3 linked regions of the Schizosaccharomyces pombe genome follow. The protein of the gene in region 1 interacts with the protein of each later gene in a biochemical or structural test. Each region holds a gene or a part of one and is shown on either strand. Other genes may lie near its edges.

Region 1 (6,899 bases):
ACGCGCTGATTGTTCAGCTTAATTTATAGGTAGATATGATCAATGTATTTATTTAATATTTTTTTTCTATTTTATTTAAATATTAGTTCTCATTAACTATGCATCATGGAGTTATAGTCGTAAATTATGCTGCAGTAACTTGAAGCTTCAAGAAAATAAACCTATTAAATATCGTTGTCACGACTACTGATTGAAAGCAAATTCAAACGGGTTTTGCAAGCGACAGCATGCAAAAAGAATCATTCAATGCATCAATAGAAAAAAAAGTGTAACAGATTTAGCTATCCATCGGTTTATTGAATGCCACAATCAGTATCCATAAAGAGAATTCAAAAAAGAATCAATGTATATCAAACAAAGCAACGTAACGAAATTTAAAAATCAGAGTCCATTGGACCAGCAATTTCATCGCCAGATTCAGTGTCAATAGAAGACATGGTGTCATCATCTGAAGAGTCGTTCAAAGTTATATCAGCGTCTTCTTTATTAGCATACCGAGCGATATAATCTCGAACCTTGGCATAGTAGGTATTCGGCTCTCGCAATAATAGAGCTGCTGCCTCTCCATTTAGAGGGTCCGACGCATTAGGATAACGGAGTAGCTGTGGAAGAAAAACCTCAAAAATATTAATCATATCAAACATTGGAGACCAAGTTTGATTTATCACGTCCAAGCAAACACTTCCACTAAGCTCATCGATATTGGGATGAAATATACGATTTACAAATCCAATACTTGGAGATTTCCAAGGATACTCACTTGGCAGTTCAACATGAACTTTCCATATTCCACCTGAGTAAGGGGTTTCAGACGGTCCATGGAACCTAACGTAAAATTCTTGCATATTATCATTGACAAGAGTTACCTCGTAATCACTCATCAGCAGCTTCATAACGTCCGTCTCAATTCTGCGCCTTGGGCTCGACATTTTGATTTTTTATAGTTTTATTTCAAAACTAAAAAAGAACTCAATAATTTTAAGCTAGTGTAGTATTCAAATACGGTAATTTGCTGCAATAAAGGCAAATTCGCAAATTCAGCAGTTTTCGAGTAATTTTCAATAAAATCAAATTATTTTGGACTTTTGGAAAGATTCTTAGCTTCCGTTTTAAATGGTTCTATCCTATTGTCCGTGAATATATCAAATTTTTAAAAGCAACAACTAATAATCATCAATGACCTAATTTAAATGAAAGCAATTTTATTGTATAGAAGAATCCCCTCTTTATCGTCCTTCTTATTGTTAAATATATTTTAATTTACAAACGAGGCAATTGAGCATAAGTTTGGCTATGATGAAGACGCGGAATTTCGCTGATTTGGAGGTTATAAGAAGCAGGTAACAGTATGTGAGTAACAATGATTCTAGTACTACCAAGATGCTTTCGTCTCAATGCAGCTTGATAAATTAGTATCAAATATATGTATTAATAAAATCTCAGCATTTGTTTTGTTCTATTGGAATCGATAAATAGACTGGAAAAAATTGGAAAGAGTTAATCGTTTGGCTACTGAATATATTCGCGAGTGATAAAAACTAAGATCTTTAATTTAATATTTACTCGTATTTTTCATAACAAACGTAACTTGCGGATGGCCAAGCTGATTTCAAAGAAGAAAATCTACTTAGGGAAGTCATCTGCTTGTTTGTCGAGAAAAGATAGCGTCTCCCTTCAAATGTGTGTTAAGGAAAAAAAGGCAAAACTTGAGCATTGCCAACTAATAGAAGAGAATTTTAAAAAGAAATAAATTTGATTATGTAATTTGTAAAATTGGTATAAATATTAGCCATCAACAGAATATTATTATAGAGGTAGAATTCCAATATCTAAGGATCTTCGGATTTCGACTTCTCTAGTAGCAGTGCATGATTAATTACTAACCGAGTATCTTTGGCATTCTTTATGCATTTTTCCGTCAAAAACGAAAGGCGACTCGGAGAGCAAGTGCCTCTTTCCCATACTTGAGTAACGTGACCAAGAGAAGCCATGTACCCCATAACTACAGAACCTTTAGCAGCCCTTGCACGCTCATCCACATAATCAGGATCAATCCAATATTCATCCGTATTGGGATTAAATAATACACTCGAGCCCGTCACCAAATCTATGCAGTCGATGTTAGCATCAGCTATTGCACTTGATGCGCAACTTATAGCAGCAGCCAATGTTGCTAATGCACCGTCACTTTCAATCACTTGAATATAAACGTCTATAGAACTTTTCGGATACAAATGCAGTAATATACTTGGAGAAATTGCTGCTTCAATCATTTGGGAATAGCTTTTTTCTTCGACGGTTTGTACATGTCCCTGACGAACAGAAGTAGAAAATGGGGATAATCTAAATTCACAATTCAACTTTGCTGATGAACGAAAAGCAAAAGTCTTACTAGGTCGAGGACCAGAGACTGTGCATGCAATTTTTATTTTTTCTGATTCAAAATAACTGCTACCGACAGCTTTAGTAGCCCACCCTAATTTTAGATCTAATTGTCAGTGAAAATGTTAATAATCGGTATCTTACATATTTTTCGACATCTGTCAACATCACGAGTCCGCGTGAAAACAGGTTGTTCTGGCTCTTCAAAATAAGGGGGAACGGATACACTCGGTCCATACACTCTCTTTCTATCTGACATCGATTTATAGAGTATTTGTTTTAACCTTGATGTACCGTTAAGAAAACAATACAGAAGCAGCCTGGATTTTCAGTGGTGGCTTCGCGTTTTGGGATGACGCGTTTGCATGCCTTAATATATATAACGATATTGTTTGATTCGGTGTATATATGACATATAGAAAGCAATTTTATCGCATCTAAAAGATTTTTGTAATGACTAAGCGTTTCAATCAGTAAGCTGGAAAATAAAAATGCTTTTAGAATAATGGTGCAAAATTTTTTTTTATCCAGCCAGCATACTTCAAGTGCGCGCTCTTAAATTTAATGAGTAATAAATTGTTAAGCATGTGTAACGAAAGAGCTCGCTATTTGAACATATAAAAACACTATATTATAGCCTACGTATGACTCTCCTCTGCCAACACCACGTTTCGTAATGAGTGTATGTAATTTGTTTAAATGATTCAAGTATTTTTCGCTTCTTACTAACATTGCAAAAGAATAACATGAACATTGATCAAACGGATCAAAATACTATCGATGAAGGGCTTTACTCTAGACAACTGTAAGTTTTATTAGAAACATGAAGAGTCATTATTACCGGTGTTGATTTGGTTTAGCTTTATGTTTTTATATTCTTTCTTGTACTGAGCGCTTGCTAATTTATCTAAAGTTATGTTTTAGGCCATGAGGCTATGAAACAAATGAGTCAGTCGAATGTCTTAATCATTGGCTGCAAAGGTTTAGGCGTTGAAATAGCAAAGAACGTTTGTCTAGCAGGTGTAAAAAGCGTTACTCTTTACGATCCTCAACCTACACGCATTGAGGACTTATCATCACAATATTTTCTTACAGAAGACGATATTGGTGTTCCTCGTGCAAAAGTAACGGTATCAAAGTTAGCAGAGCTTAATCAATATGTGCCTGTTTCTGTAGTTGATGAACTTTCAACAGAGTATCTAAAAAACTTCAAATGCGTGGTTGTCACAGAAACTTCTCTTACGAAACAGCTAGAAATTAACGACTTTACACACAAAAACCATATTGCTTATATTGCTGCTGACAGCCGTGGTCTTTTTGGATCGATATTTTGTGATTTTGGTGAGAACTTTATTTGTACTGACACTGATGGAAATGAACCTTTAACTGGAATGATCGCTTCAATTACTGATGATGGAGTTGTTACCATGCTTGAAGAAACTCGTCATGGATTGGAGAATGGTGATTTTGTTAAATTTACCGAAGTGAAGGGTATGCCTGGTTTAAATGATGGCACTCCTCGTAAAGTTGAAGTGAAAGGTCCATATACCTTTTCTATCGGATCTGTTAAAGATTTAGGAAGTGCCGGTTACAATGGTGTCTTTACCCAAGTTAAAGTTCCAACCAAAATATCTTTCAAATCTCTCCGCGAATCGCTCAAGGACCCTGAATATGTATATCCTGACTTTGGTAAAATGATGAGACCTCCACAATACCACATTGCTTTCCAGGCCCTTTCAGCATTTGCCGATGCGCATGAAGGTTCATTGCCTCGACCCCGTAACGACATTGATGCAGCTGAATTTTTCGAATTTTGTAAGAAAATTGCAAGCACACTTCAATTTGATGTTGAACTCGATGAAAAACTAATTAAGGAAATTTCATACCAGGCAAGAGGTGATTTGGTTGCAATGTCCGCGTTTTTGGGCGGTGCTGTAGCACAGGAAGTGTTGAAAGCTACCACCAGTAAATTTTACCCATTGAAGCAATACTTCTATTTTGACTCCTTAGAAAGCTTGCCATCTTCTGTAACGATCAGTGAAGAAACTTGTAAACCTCGTGGCTGTCGATACGATGGGCAAATCGCTGTTTTCGGTTCGGAATTTCAAGAGAAAATAGCTTCTTTGAGTACGTTTTTGGTTGGTGCTGGCGCTATTGGATGTGAAATGCTGAAAAACTGGGCTATGATGGGTGTCGCTACTGGTGAAAGTGGTCATATTTCTGTTACTGATATGGACTCCATTGAAAAATCGAATTTGAATCGTCAATTTCTCTTTCGTCCTCGTGACGTCGGAAAGCTGAAGTCCGAATGTGCTTCTACCGCTGTTTCAATCATGAATCCTTCATTGACTGGTAAAATAACTTCATATCAAGAACGTGTTGGACCAGAAAGCGAAGGCATATTTGGCGATGAATTCTTTGAAAAGTTATCTTTAGTCACGAATGCTTTGGATAACGTCGAAGCTCGAATGTATGTTGACCGCCGTTGTGTATTTTTCGAAAAGCCATTATTAGAGTCTGGTACTTTGGGTACTAAGGGTAATACGCAAGTTGTTGTACCTCATCTTACAGAGTCGTACGGATCATCCCAAGACCCTCCTGAAAAGTCATTTCCTATCTGTACTTTGAAGAACTTTCCTAACCGTATTGAGCACACCATTGCATGGGCTCGCGATCTCTTTGAAGGCTTGTTTAAACAGCCTATCGATAACGTTAATATGTACCTTAGTTCTCCTAACTTTTTGGAAACTTCATTGAAAACGAGTAGTAACCCCCGTGAAGTTTTAGAAAATATTAGAGATTATCTTGTTACGGAGAAGCCTCTTTCATTTGAGGAATGTATTATGTGGGCCCGTTTGCAGTTTGATAAGTTCTTTAACAACAACATTCAGCAATTACTTTTCAATTTCCCTAAGGATTCTGTAACCTCCACTGGCCAACCGTTTTGGTCTGGTCCTAAGCGTGCCCCTACTCCATTATCTTTTGATATTCACAACCGTGAGCATTTTGACTTCATAGTTGCAGCAGCCAGTCTTTATGCATTCAACTACGGCCTTAAGAGTGAGACAGACCCAGCTATTTACGAACGCGTTCTTGCTGGCTACAATCCTCCTCCCTTTGCTCCCAAGTCTGGTATTAAAATTCAAGTCAATGAAAATGAAGAAGCTCCCGAAACCGCTGCTAATAAAGATAAACAAGAACTGAAATCGATTGCTGACAGTCTACCACCTCCATCCTCTCTTGTGGGTTTTAGACTAACTCCGGCAGAATTTGAAAAGGACGATGACTCTAATCATCACATTGACTTTATAACGGCTGCATCAAATTTGCGTGCCATGAATTACGACATCACACCTGCGGATAGGTTTAAGACGAAGTTTGTTGCCGGTAAAATTGTACCAGCCATGTGTACATCAACTGCTGTCGTTTCAGGACTTGTATGTCTTGAGCTTGTTAAACTTGTTGATGGCAAAAAGAAGATCGAGGAATATAAAAATGGATTTTTCAACCTTGCTATAGGGCTCTTTACATTTTCTGATCCTATTGCTTCTCCGAAAATGAAAGTCAATGGTAAAGAAATCGACAAAATCTGGGATCGCTACAATCTCCCGGACTGCACACTTCAAGAGCTTATTGATTATTTCCAAAAAGAAGAGGGGTTGGAAGTGACCATGCTTTCATCTGGAGTTTCTCTTTTGTATGCTAATTTCCAACCACCTAAGAAACTTGCTGAAAGGTTGCCTCTCAAAATTTCTGAATTGGTTGAGCAAATTACTAAGAAAAAACTAGAACCTTTCCGGAAACACTTGGTGCTTGAAATTTGCTGTGATGATGCCAACGGTGAAGACGTTGAAGTTCCATTTATTTGTATCAAGTTGTAATACCTTTGAGAACCGGTTAATTCCTGGAATTTGCAACATTTAATGCCAATGGCTCTAATAAATTTACTAAATTAGTATTAGCAGTCTTTAAAAAACATTAATAGGCATGTATGAATAATTTATTATTTTTCCTATACTCTTTCTAATTTTTATGAACTAAGATCTGTTATATTTTAAAAAGTATTTTGACATGTAGTAAAATTGTTGTTTTTTTGAGCAATTTTTTTAACGTCGGCGATTGGCATTTACGTAAGTTTCGACTGCTAACCTCCTAATTTACCTAAGAGTATATCTTTACTCGGCTACAAAAGTCTATCGTATACATTATATTAAATTTAACTAGAATTATTGCCAATGTCTACTGCCTCAAAACTTTGTATCGTCGGGGCCGGTGTCTTTAGTGTTTACATGGTTTATTTCGTACATAATAATCAGATTATTGAACGAGAGGTAATATTTACTTATATTAAAGAAAATATGCACCATAGCTAATGTAAGTATAGAAAATGTCGGCGGGAGTTCAAAAAGATGATGAAAGGAAAAGAATTAAAAAAGAAAGGTTTGAAGACCTAAAGCGACAACAAGAGTTACGAAAATTTTACGAAAGCCAGCTACCTGTTGAAGAGGACGAAAAGG
Region 2 (3,991 bases), on another chromosome or scaffold:
GAAGAAATACATTGGTCTGAAATTGATGTTAATGTATTAAAAACATAATTAAATTGCTCATCATTAAAGGCGCTTGATCTTTCTAGTTGAAACACTGGAGTTGCAGATATAGGATAATTATTTGGAAAATACACATGCAACCTAATATAAGCATAACCGTCATCAGGAAGAATGGGAGCATTTAAAGATATTGTGCAAGTCCTTTCCGCTACATCAATTTTCTCAAAGCTAACGTTGGAATACTTCTGCCCAATCCAAGAAAGTTCTTCTCCAAGGTTTTGAGGAACTTCCCAATCAGCATTACCTAACCGACCCATAGAAATTCCCCGTAGCCAATTTAATGGAGTCATGGGATTAGTTGATTTAGTGGATCGAGTCATAAATCCTGAAGAGCCAGGAAGATTGTATTTAGATTTCTTACGGTTAGCAAAAGCGACAAATCCCCTGGATAAGTCAGATGTATTAGCACGTTCTGCACCAAAATTAGAATCGAACGAGTTCATAGCATCAGAGGAATCACACTCAGTGTTAATTAATGATTGCTTAAGCGGCTCACGAGAATAAGTACGATATTTCGCGCCTAACCGTGTTAATTTAAAAGGAACAGGTTTTGTTCGATCGTGTCCCATTGAATTGAGTATATCGTTACCAATAGGCCATAAACGAACATGGTGATCCTTGGACCAAGTGATCAATTGAAAATCTCTTAAATCTCTATCAAATACATCTTCGCCTCGACACCTCCAAAGAAATTCTTTAACTTGATCGGTATGACCGGCAAATCTATGTACAGCACGGGGGCCTTCTTTGTCTAAATTACGACAATCGTACATGTGTACGGAATTGTCTCCTCTCTGAGGCATCAAAATAACTCCGTCCCCGAATGGAGTAAACCTTGCTTTCCATACTGGAGAATCAGTGGTAATTAAATGCTCAGGCTCCTCTGTTGACTTTTCATAGTTCCAAAACTTAACTGTTCGATCCATAGCACAAGTTAATAGGCGAGTTTCACATGCTCTATTGAATTCAAGACCATTAATTTTAGTAATATTTTCGGAAGTTTTAATTGTATGAAGTGGGGCGGATCCATAACGATCGTCCCAAATCCTTACTAAACGTCCATGGCTAGAAGCAAGTATGTGGGGATTTTTATAATTCCATTTTACCTGAGTAGCTCCGTTATGCCAATCGTAAAAGGAGTTAACAGGAAATCGAGGACTACGCAAATCCCAACAGTGAACAGAGGAATCAATTGAACAAGTGGCAAGAACATCAGGATTTTGCCGATGCCAGTTCATATCTGTGACGGCGCGGGTGTGTCCATGTAACATAAATTCTATAGCACGATCATTTGGTAGTGCAAGGTTCCATACTATCGTTTTTTGACTTGATGTAGAAACCACCCATTGGTCTCTTGCGGCATGAACATTCCACTGAGTATCAGCAACTTCCCAAGGAGTAGAATGTCTTAGCATTCTTGGTGGATTATAAGGATTATCAAGATCTAAGACTAGTAAACCATAACGTGAAGCTAAAGCTATATCTCTACCACAAGGAGATAAAGACATAGCACCCACTGGTTGATTAACTTCAATTGATAATTGTCTATCAAACGTAGTACTATCAAAAGGGCCGTATTCCACATTGCTGTTAGAATTCGATGGTAACTGCAAGTCTTCATCTTCGGAAGGGATGATGACCGTGGAATCCATATTTCTTCGCAACCGACCAGAAACACCCTGAGAGTTAAAAGATATTCGACGAGATCCATAACTACCATCGTCAAAAGAAGAAGATGATATGGAAGTTAAACCTTGCAACCTTTGTGTCGGTGTTTGAGAATATGCAACAATGGTACTAGACCTTACACTTTCTGAAAAATTTGCAAAGGAGTTAGAAGCTTTTTTAATTAATATCTTAGAATCGTTTAGCTTATTGTCCAACGTTTCTGAGTGATCTTTAGAGATTGTTGACGATGAAGCTAGTTGATCACCGTCTTGTGCAGTGTTTGATTGAGCGCTTAGAGCAGTGGACGATTCATGGATCATTGATTCAAGACTGTCTTTCTCCAATTCAAAGTTGCATAATTCCCCGCTATCATCCATATTATAGTATGAAGATGGGTTTTCAGAATTAAATTGCTTATTGGGGTAATTCAAGGTACGTTCATCTTGAAGAGATTTCAATGAATGTTCATAATCAATAGGCGAAGAATTTTTTACAACCGAATCACTCGGAGGAGACTTTCTTGAAGAATCGTCTCCCTGTAATTCCCTCATCTTTTTCGATATGGGCCAGGTGACTGTAGCAATTTCAGGATTCTGAATCTTTTTTTTTATAAAAAAACAAATTAAATTTTATACAATATTATGAATATTAATAATAATAAACTAAGAAGCCATGGCTACTTGTCAATTGCTAATACTATTCTTAGCTAGAGCCGTGGAGATTTTATTATCACTCACTATTTGTATTATGTTTTACGTCACTCCTTATATAGAATAGTGTATCAATCTCTCCAGTTTCTCCTTAAACCAAGTACTTATTGTGTGTACAGCATGCATTCTAGGAAGTCCAAGTATATGAACAATGGCTTTGCCTAAGCGTATTATTAAGGTTTGCGCTTTCTGTTAGCATTTTTCAACTAATAATTGGTAGGAAATTGAAACCCTTACGAGAGATCCTCCACCCGGAATTGTAGCGGCTCCCACTGAAGATAATCTTCGCTATTTTAAAATTACTATGGAAGGGCCTCAGCAATCAGCTTATGAAGGTGGAAAATTTCACTTAGAGCTGTTTCTTCCTGATGAGTATCCAATGGTAGGTTTTTTTTGAAAACACAGTATTGAGCCTACCATGGTCCTTTTGCTAGCCCTGCTAGTTCAACAAAAATTTGAAGAATGGCATTGTCAGTTTCAAACTGTCTTCAAAAAATTGTATAATTGTGTAATTTGAGTTTTAACAACTATTAGATGCCTCCCAATGTTCGTTTTCTTACTAAAATTTATCATCCAAACGTTGATAAATTAGGTCGCATATGTTTATCTACGTTAAAAAGTATGTTAAACTTCACACGTTTCATCTTATTTTGGTGTACTAACATTAATAAATCAGAGGATTGGAGTCCTGCTTTACAAATTCGAACCGTGCTACTTTCGATACAGGCATTAATGGGTGCTCCCAACCCAGATGACCCTTTAGACAATGATGTTGCAAAGATTTGGAAAGAAAATGAGCCACAGGCAATTGCAAATGCCCGTGAATGGACGAAAAAGTATGCAGTTTGATTACTTATGATAGTCCAATGCTTATGGTTATCACTAGAATAATAATATATTACGATATCAATAGCTTTCTATATACAGTCTTTGATTTGAATTCTACCCATTTCCTTAAGTTTTTTGCATTCAATTTTTTCCTAAGCGGTTAAGGTCTTTTCGAATAAAAGATGTAAAAATTAATAATAGATAATTATGGTAGCAGAATACAAACATCGCAGCTTTTGACGGACGATGAAAAAAGTGATATCTCGACGAGCACAATTAATTTAAGATATAGTGCTATTCATATAACAAGGAAGTATTAAAGTTTAAGCAAAATCCATAGTTATTATTGTTAATCTTGCAAAGCTTTCATTAATCTAGCAGAAAATAATTTTCCTTGTTCTTTCGTAAAGATAATTTCCTCCAACAAATAGTCTGGTAAATGTTTCATAAGCTCCTCATCAGTTTGAACATTCAGACGTGGAGTAAATGTAAAGTTTTGATCATCTAACAAGAGCTGATATTCGAGTGCTATAATAATATCCTGTTAGCTTGAAATTATTTCTAAATCCCTTAAAGCACTTACTCCCTCTCCTTCCAGTGTTTTTACAGTTGAAACGATATCCATCCTCGTCCTCTATACAGTCTGCAACTTCTAATCCGAAAAGCTCCTTTATAAGTATATTAATTTTTGAATAGTTTTTTATTTGCTCTCGAGTTTTCAATAA
Region 3 (4,207 bases), on another chromosome or scaffold:
TGCAAAAAATGCGTGAGAGGATAGAGTATGAGGAAAGTAATTATACTCGCCTTCCTAAATTATCGAAGAAAGATTTAAAGAAATCTAAACGTGTAAAGAAACACGATTATGGTGGTGAAGACTGGTCATTGCTTGATCGCAAATTCCATGACGATGACTTTTCAAATCGTAAATTAGACCTGACTTCTAGAGCTAAGAGACGTGCTAATTTTGAAGACGTTAACGATGGCTCATTAGCTTCACCTGTTCAAATTGGCCAGTCATATCGTAAAAGAAAGAAGAATTTGAAACGTCGTTAATCATTATTTTGGGAACAGCCGTTGAGGTTTACTTAAAAAAATTGACCATATGTATTTAAAAAAATGGAGTTTTTGCGCTTGGTTTGGTATTTTTGTGTGGTTTAGGGCAGGTTATGTTTAATAAGATCAATATAAATTTTGCATGTACATGTCTGTATATGTGATTAGTCGCACATTAATATAGTTTACAAGTTCTAAACATAAGGAAGAAATCATTCATTCGTAGATGTAAACAAAAAAATCTTAATGATTTACTATAGTTACAATTTTGGCAACTTTGAAGCACTTAAATAGATTTAATGTGAAAGGCGGTTGAAAAAGAAGAGTAAGTTCTAATGAAATAGGGATTATTAAGACAGCTATGTCTTGAAATCAACTTTCCCAGGAGTCTTCTACAGTTTTTCGTACTCGACGCACATACTCCTTCTTGTTTTCACGATGCAGCTGAGCAGCTTCGGCATTTGCAGGGGACGCATTATTTGGATCATTAAGTAAGCTAAAAGTTAGTTATGAGAAATTTAAGTAATATTTCTGAAAAGCAAACCTTTGAATAGAGGTAAGAATTGCTGCCACATCGTAAGTTGGAGACCACCTGTTTTGCAGAATGTCCAAGCAAAGTTCGCCATTTGCGTACACATTTGGATGGAACTAAAGCCAATAAGTAAGTAAACAAAAAAAACCAAGAAAAAAGTAAATTACAACAAATCAAATAATCTAATTTAAGACTTGTCTAAATACAATGACTAAGCATACCATTGTGGAGACGAATTTTACAAGAGGAGGTTTATTAGGATATTGTTCATCAAAAGAAAGAACCAACTTAAAAGTTCCATCTTCAAATGGAGTGTCTGCTGGGCCAATGATAACAGCATTCCTGCTCAAATGGTTAGTCCAACATCAATAATAAAAAACAAAAGCAATCAATCCAGAAACCAACAAGCATAAAAAGATCGCTTCTTGTAAGAATTTTGAAACGATCTCCTTCCTAAATATATGGCAAAAAAGGCATTCAATATATAGCACATATATTCACCATTACGTTGCATAACAATAAGAGAAAAATGAATTGACATAGGTAAACACTTACCAAAGCATTACATTGTCAGAGACAGGGGAAGCTGAAACTCCAGCAGGAGGATCTTGCTGCATCCTCTAAGAATTGGTTAATATAAGTCTTCTCGGATCCACAACTGCCGTACCTTAAAATCTCGCATGAGACGTCTTCTTGCGGTCGTTGACATTTTTATAGCAACCTCTCTTCTATTTGTGATAACTTTAAAAAAAAGTTGCACAAATATCGATATCGCCTTGGAATTACACCGAGTTAGGATATCCGATTTGCGTTGTTGGAGAAGGGCAGGGAACAATAGTAGGACCATTCACTCATATGCAGTATTTCATTATTAATGGGGCGCACCCAACACGTTAAAATAATAAAGTGCACGCTCAGTTACCTTATAACTAGACCAACCTTTTAGTAATGTTCAGCATTTGCAATGCAAGTCTGCTTTAGTATTAATGAACTACTACTTCATTTAAATTATAGTTAAAGATAAGGAAAGTTGATATTTTTCATTCAACCATTAATCATAATCAAGGTCCGTGCATTTGTTAACGGTAAACTGTTGAACATGTGAAAATTATATATATTTACTTTAAGCCTTTGTTCTCATTGGGTTTAAAAAAGCAACTAAAATACATTAGGAAGAAAAAATGAAAGAGCAACAGGATGTAAGAAATAAATTTACATTTTCACTAGCTTAACAATGAGAAAACACAAACAGCCAATTTTTTACGCGTCTGCTACGTGATTGAAATGGTAGTTAGAAATGTATCTGAACTCTTCACCATTAGATATTTACATTGTGCATAAATTTAATTATCCAGAAAAAAATCAGCTTAATACTCTTATTAATTCACTGACTTAAAAATTACTAAGTTTTGTTTGGAGTATTTAAAAATTGCTGCACAAGTTAATCGACAAAGTAAATATAAAAATTCAACTTACCGGTAAATATGTTGACACAAGAGCCGCGATACCCATACTGATCAAATGTTAACATCCATAGAACTACATTAATGCAATGAATTAGGATTACTTACAAAGCCATTGAAGTCGGAGATGAGCTGGGAGACGTATTTGCGTTCAGTAAATTTGAAAAGGTTAGGATAAAAGCAACCCATGCAATTAATCTTCTCGTTAACATGAAAATCCTAAAATATCTTACATACTTGAAACGAAGAAATAAAGCAGCCATACACGTGGCTGTGCTTACCAAACTCAAGCCAACTATAATAGGGTTAGCAAACTTAATAAATTATTTGACGAAAGAAAGGATTTAAAATATTCCACAATGAACTAAAGCTTGAGCGATTAAATCAGCGTAACTCACGATTGGGTTCAATTTGAAAGTGCTTTCTACTTTACCTTCTTCATTTGCTTTGACTCTAGCTTTGTAGGGAACGATTAAATCAGGTCGTTTAAGTTCTGCAGGCGCCATATTTTATGAATTTTCGTTGTCGAGACTTCAGAACTGGTGAATGGGATGGTTCCTCTACAAGAATATAATGAAGTTAGTAATAAAATGTGTAAAATGGTTTTAGGTTAGGTTATTTAGCATTCAAATATATCGTGGGGGTTAAGAGTTCTTATCCCACTAAGAATTTCAACTATTTTAGACTTGGCTAAGCATTAGAATTAAAATCGATTGCAGTACCACGTGGGGGCTTTAGCAAGTCATAGGAGGAAACTGATCCTACTTGGCGAGTGAGAAATGGATTTCTTTTAGCATTCTAAGTCTTCTATATAACAATTTAAAGCTCAAACATAATATAATATTATTTATACTATTTTAAAAATTTAGGAACCAAGCCAGGTGAACTTAAGAAGTTCAAAGAGCATTTAATCGTTAGATGAAATAATAAAAAAAAAAATTACACTCGTTCACTCGTTTTCAATTTTACGAATAGGTTTGGCAGGTGATCCTACAGCCAACGTATTAGGTGGGATGTCTTTTGTAACAACAGCACCCGCTCCAATTACACTGCCTTCCCCGATAGTAACACCTGGGAGAACTATAACTCCCATACCAATCCAAACATTGTCCTGAATCTTGATAAAATTTTGTTTGTTAGTTGTAAGATGTTTCAATAACTGGACTAACGCATACGTTAATTGGTAAACCAAATTCAATTCCGGAGTTCCTTGCTTTAAAATCCAAGGGATGTGTTGCTGTACATAGTTGAACCTGGAAAGACACCATTAGTATATTTATTTTTTGAATGAATGACTTGAAAGTAACTATATATATATATAAACATACATTGGGGCCTAGCATTACATTATTACCAATAGTAATTATGGCAACATCTAGAAATGTACAATTATAATTTGCAAAGAATTTTTTTCCAAAATGAACGTTAAATCCGTAATCAAAAGCCATAGGTGGCTCAATCTCTGGTGCTGAAGATTCGTCAAATACAAAAACTTCAGCCAACAGTTCAGCTCGTCTTTTAATCAATTCTGCTGGGCCTACATTTTCCAAATCTCCCATAGTGTCATTAAACCTTCGCATTAATTTTTTAGCATTACATCTCGCTTGAGTCAACTCCTCGTCGTAAGCCTTGTACCTGTTATTTAGTAATTAGAATATCTCCCTGCGTTCAATGTGACTTCAAACATGTCAACGAAGATGATATATTAGCTCGACAAGTTTTAAGCATTAGCCTTACGGTTGACCAGATATCATTTTTTGGTATTCAATGGTTTTCGGTATCATTTTTTGTACACGAGTACGAGTCATTTCTGTCGGAAAACAAGTATATTCACTAGCATTGACAATGGGACTAGTAGAGTTATCGATGTATAAATAGACTTATATATATATATATATATGTATTGATATCAA

Evidence for each region. The genes of interacting proteins can lie anywhere in the genome.
Region 2: of the proteins of uba1 (region 1) and ubc13, one has a biochemical effect on the other in vitro, tested with the Schizosaccharomyces pombe proteins (2 studies listed by BioGRID).
Region 3: of the proteins of uba1 (region 1) and rhp6, one has a biochemical effect on the other in vitro, tested with the Schizosaccharomyces pombe proteins (2 studies listed by BioGRID).

Annotation. Positions count from the first base shown.
Region 1 is NC_003423.3:3,885,638-3,892,536, forward strand, and holds uba1 (ubiquitin-activating enzyme E1), read left to right. Parts: upstream 1-3,039; 5' UTR 3,040-3,058; coding exon 3,059-3,064; intron 3,065-3,122; coding exon 3,123-3,187; intron 3,188-3,295; coding exon 3,296-6,263; 3' UTR 6,264-6,399; downstream 6,400-6,899. Other genes in the region: gamma tubulin complex GCP4 subunit Gfh1, read left to right, coding at 1-29; ubiquitin conjugating enzyme Ubc8, read right to left, coding at 375-929; exosome complex component mtr3, read right to left, coding at 1,830-2,488, 2,527-2,641; Pet117 cytochrome c oxidase assemby protein, read left to right, coding at 6,618-6,713, 6,767-6,899.
Region 2 is NC_003424.3:5,286,680-5,290,670, reverse strand, and holds ubc13 (ubiquitin-conjugating enzyme Ubc13), read left to right. Parts: upstream 1-2,576; 5' UTR 2,577-2,589; coding exon 2,590-2,616; intron 2,617-2,658; coding exon 2,659-2,820; intron 2,821-2,972; coding exon 2,973-3,057; intron 3,058-3,114; coding exon 3,115-3,287; 3' UTR 3,288-3,491; downstream 3,492-3,991. Other genes in the region: SEA complex subunit Sea3, read right to left, coding at 1-2,279; csm1 (microtubule-site clamp monopolin complex subunit Csm1/Pcs1), read right to left, coding at 3,616-3,794, 3,850-3,991. UniProt on the Schizosaccharomyces pombe protein: Has a role in the DNA error-free postreplication repair (PRR) pathway. The ubc13/spm2 heterodimer catalyzes the synthesis of non-canonical poly-ubiquitin chains that are linked through 'Lys-63'.
Region 3 is NC_003424.3:303,056-307,262, reverse strand, and holds rhp6 (ubiquitin-conjugating enzyme E2 2), read right to left. Parts: upstream 1,658-4,207; 5' UTR 1,541-1,657; coding exon 1,499-1,540; exon of another isoform or gene 1,452-1,498; coding exon 1,387-1,451; exon of another isoform or gene 1,207-1,386; intron 1,174-1,206; coding exon 1,053-1,173; intron 948-1,052; coding exon 844-947; intron 796-843; coding exon 672-795; 3' UTR 501-671; downstream 1-500. Other genes in the region: U3 snoRNP-associated protein Lcp5, read left to right, coding at 1-299; protein pat10, read right to left, coding at 2,234-2,263, 2,308-2,344, 2,403-2,492, 2,532-2,589, 2,728-2,800; SPOM_SPAC18B11.09C (serine O-acetyltransferase activity), read right to left, coding at 3,244-3,411, 3,470-3,547, 3,623-3,929, 4,032-4,102.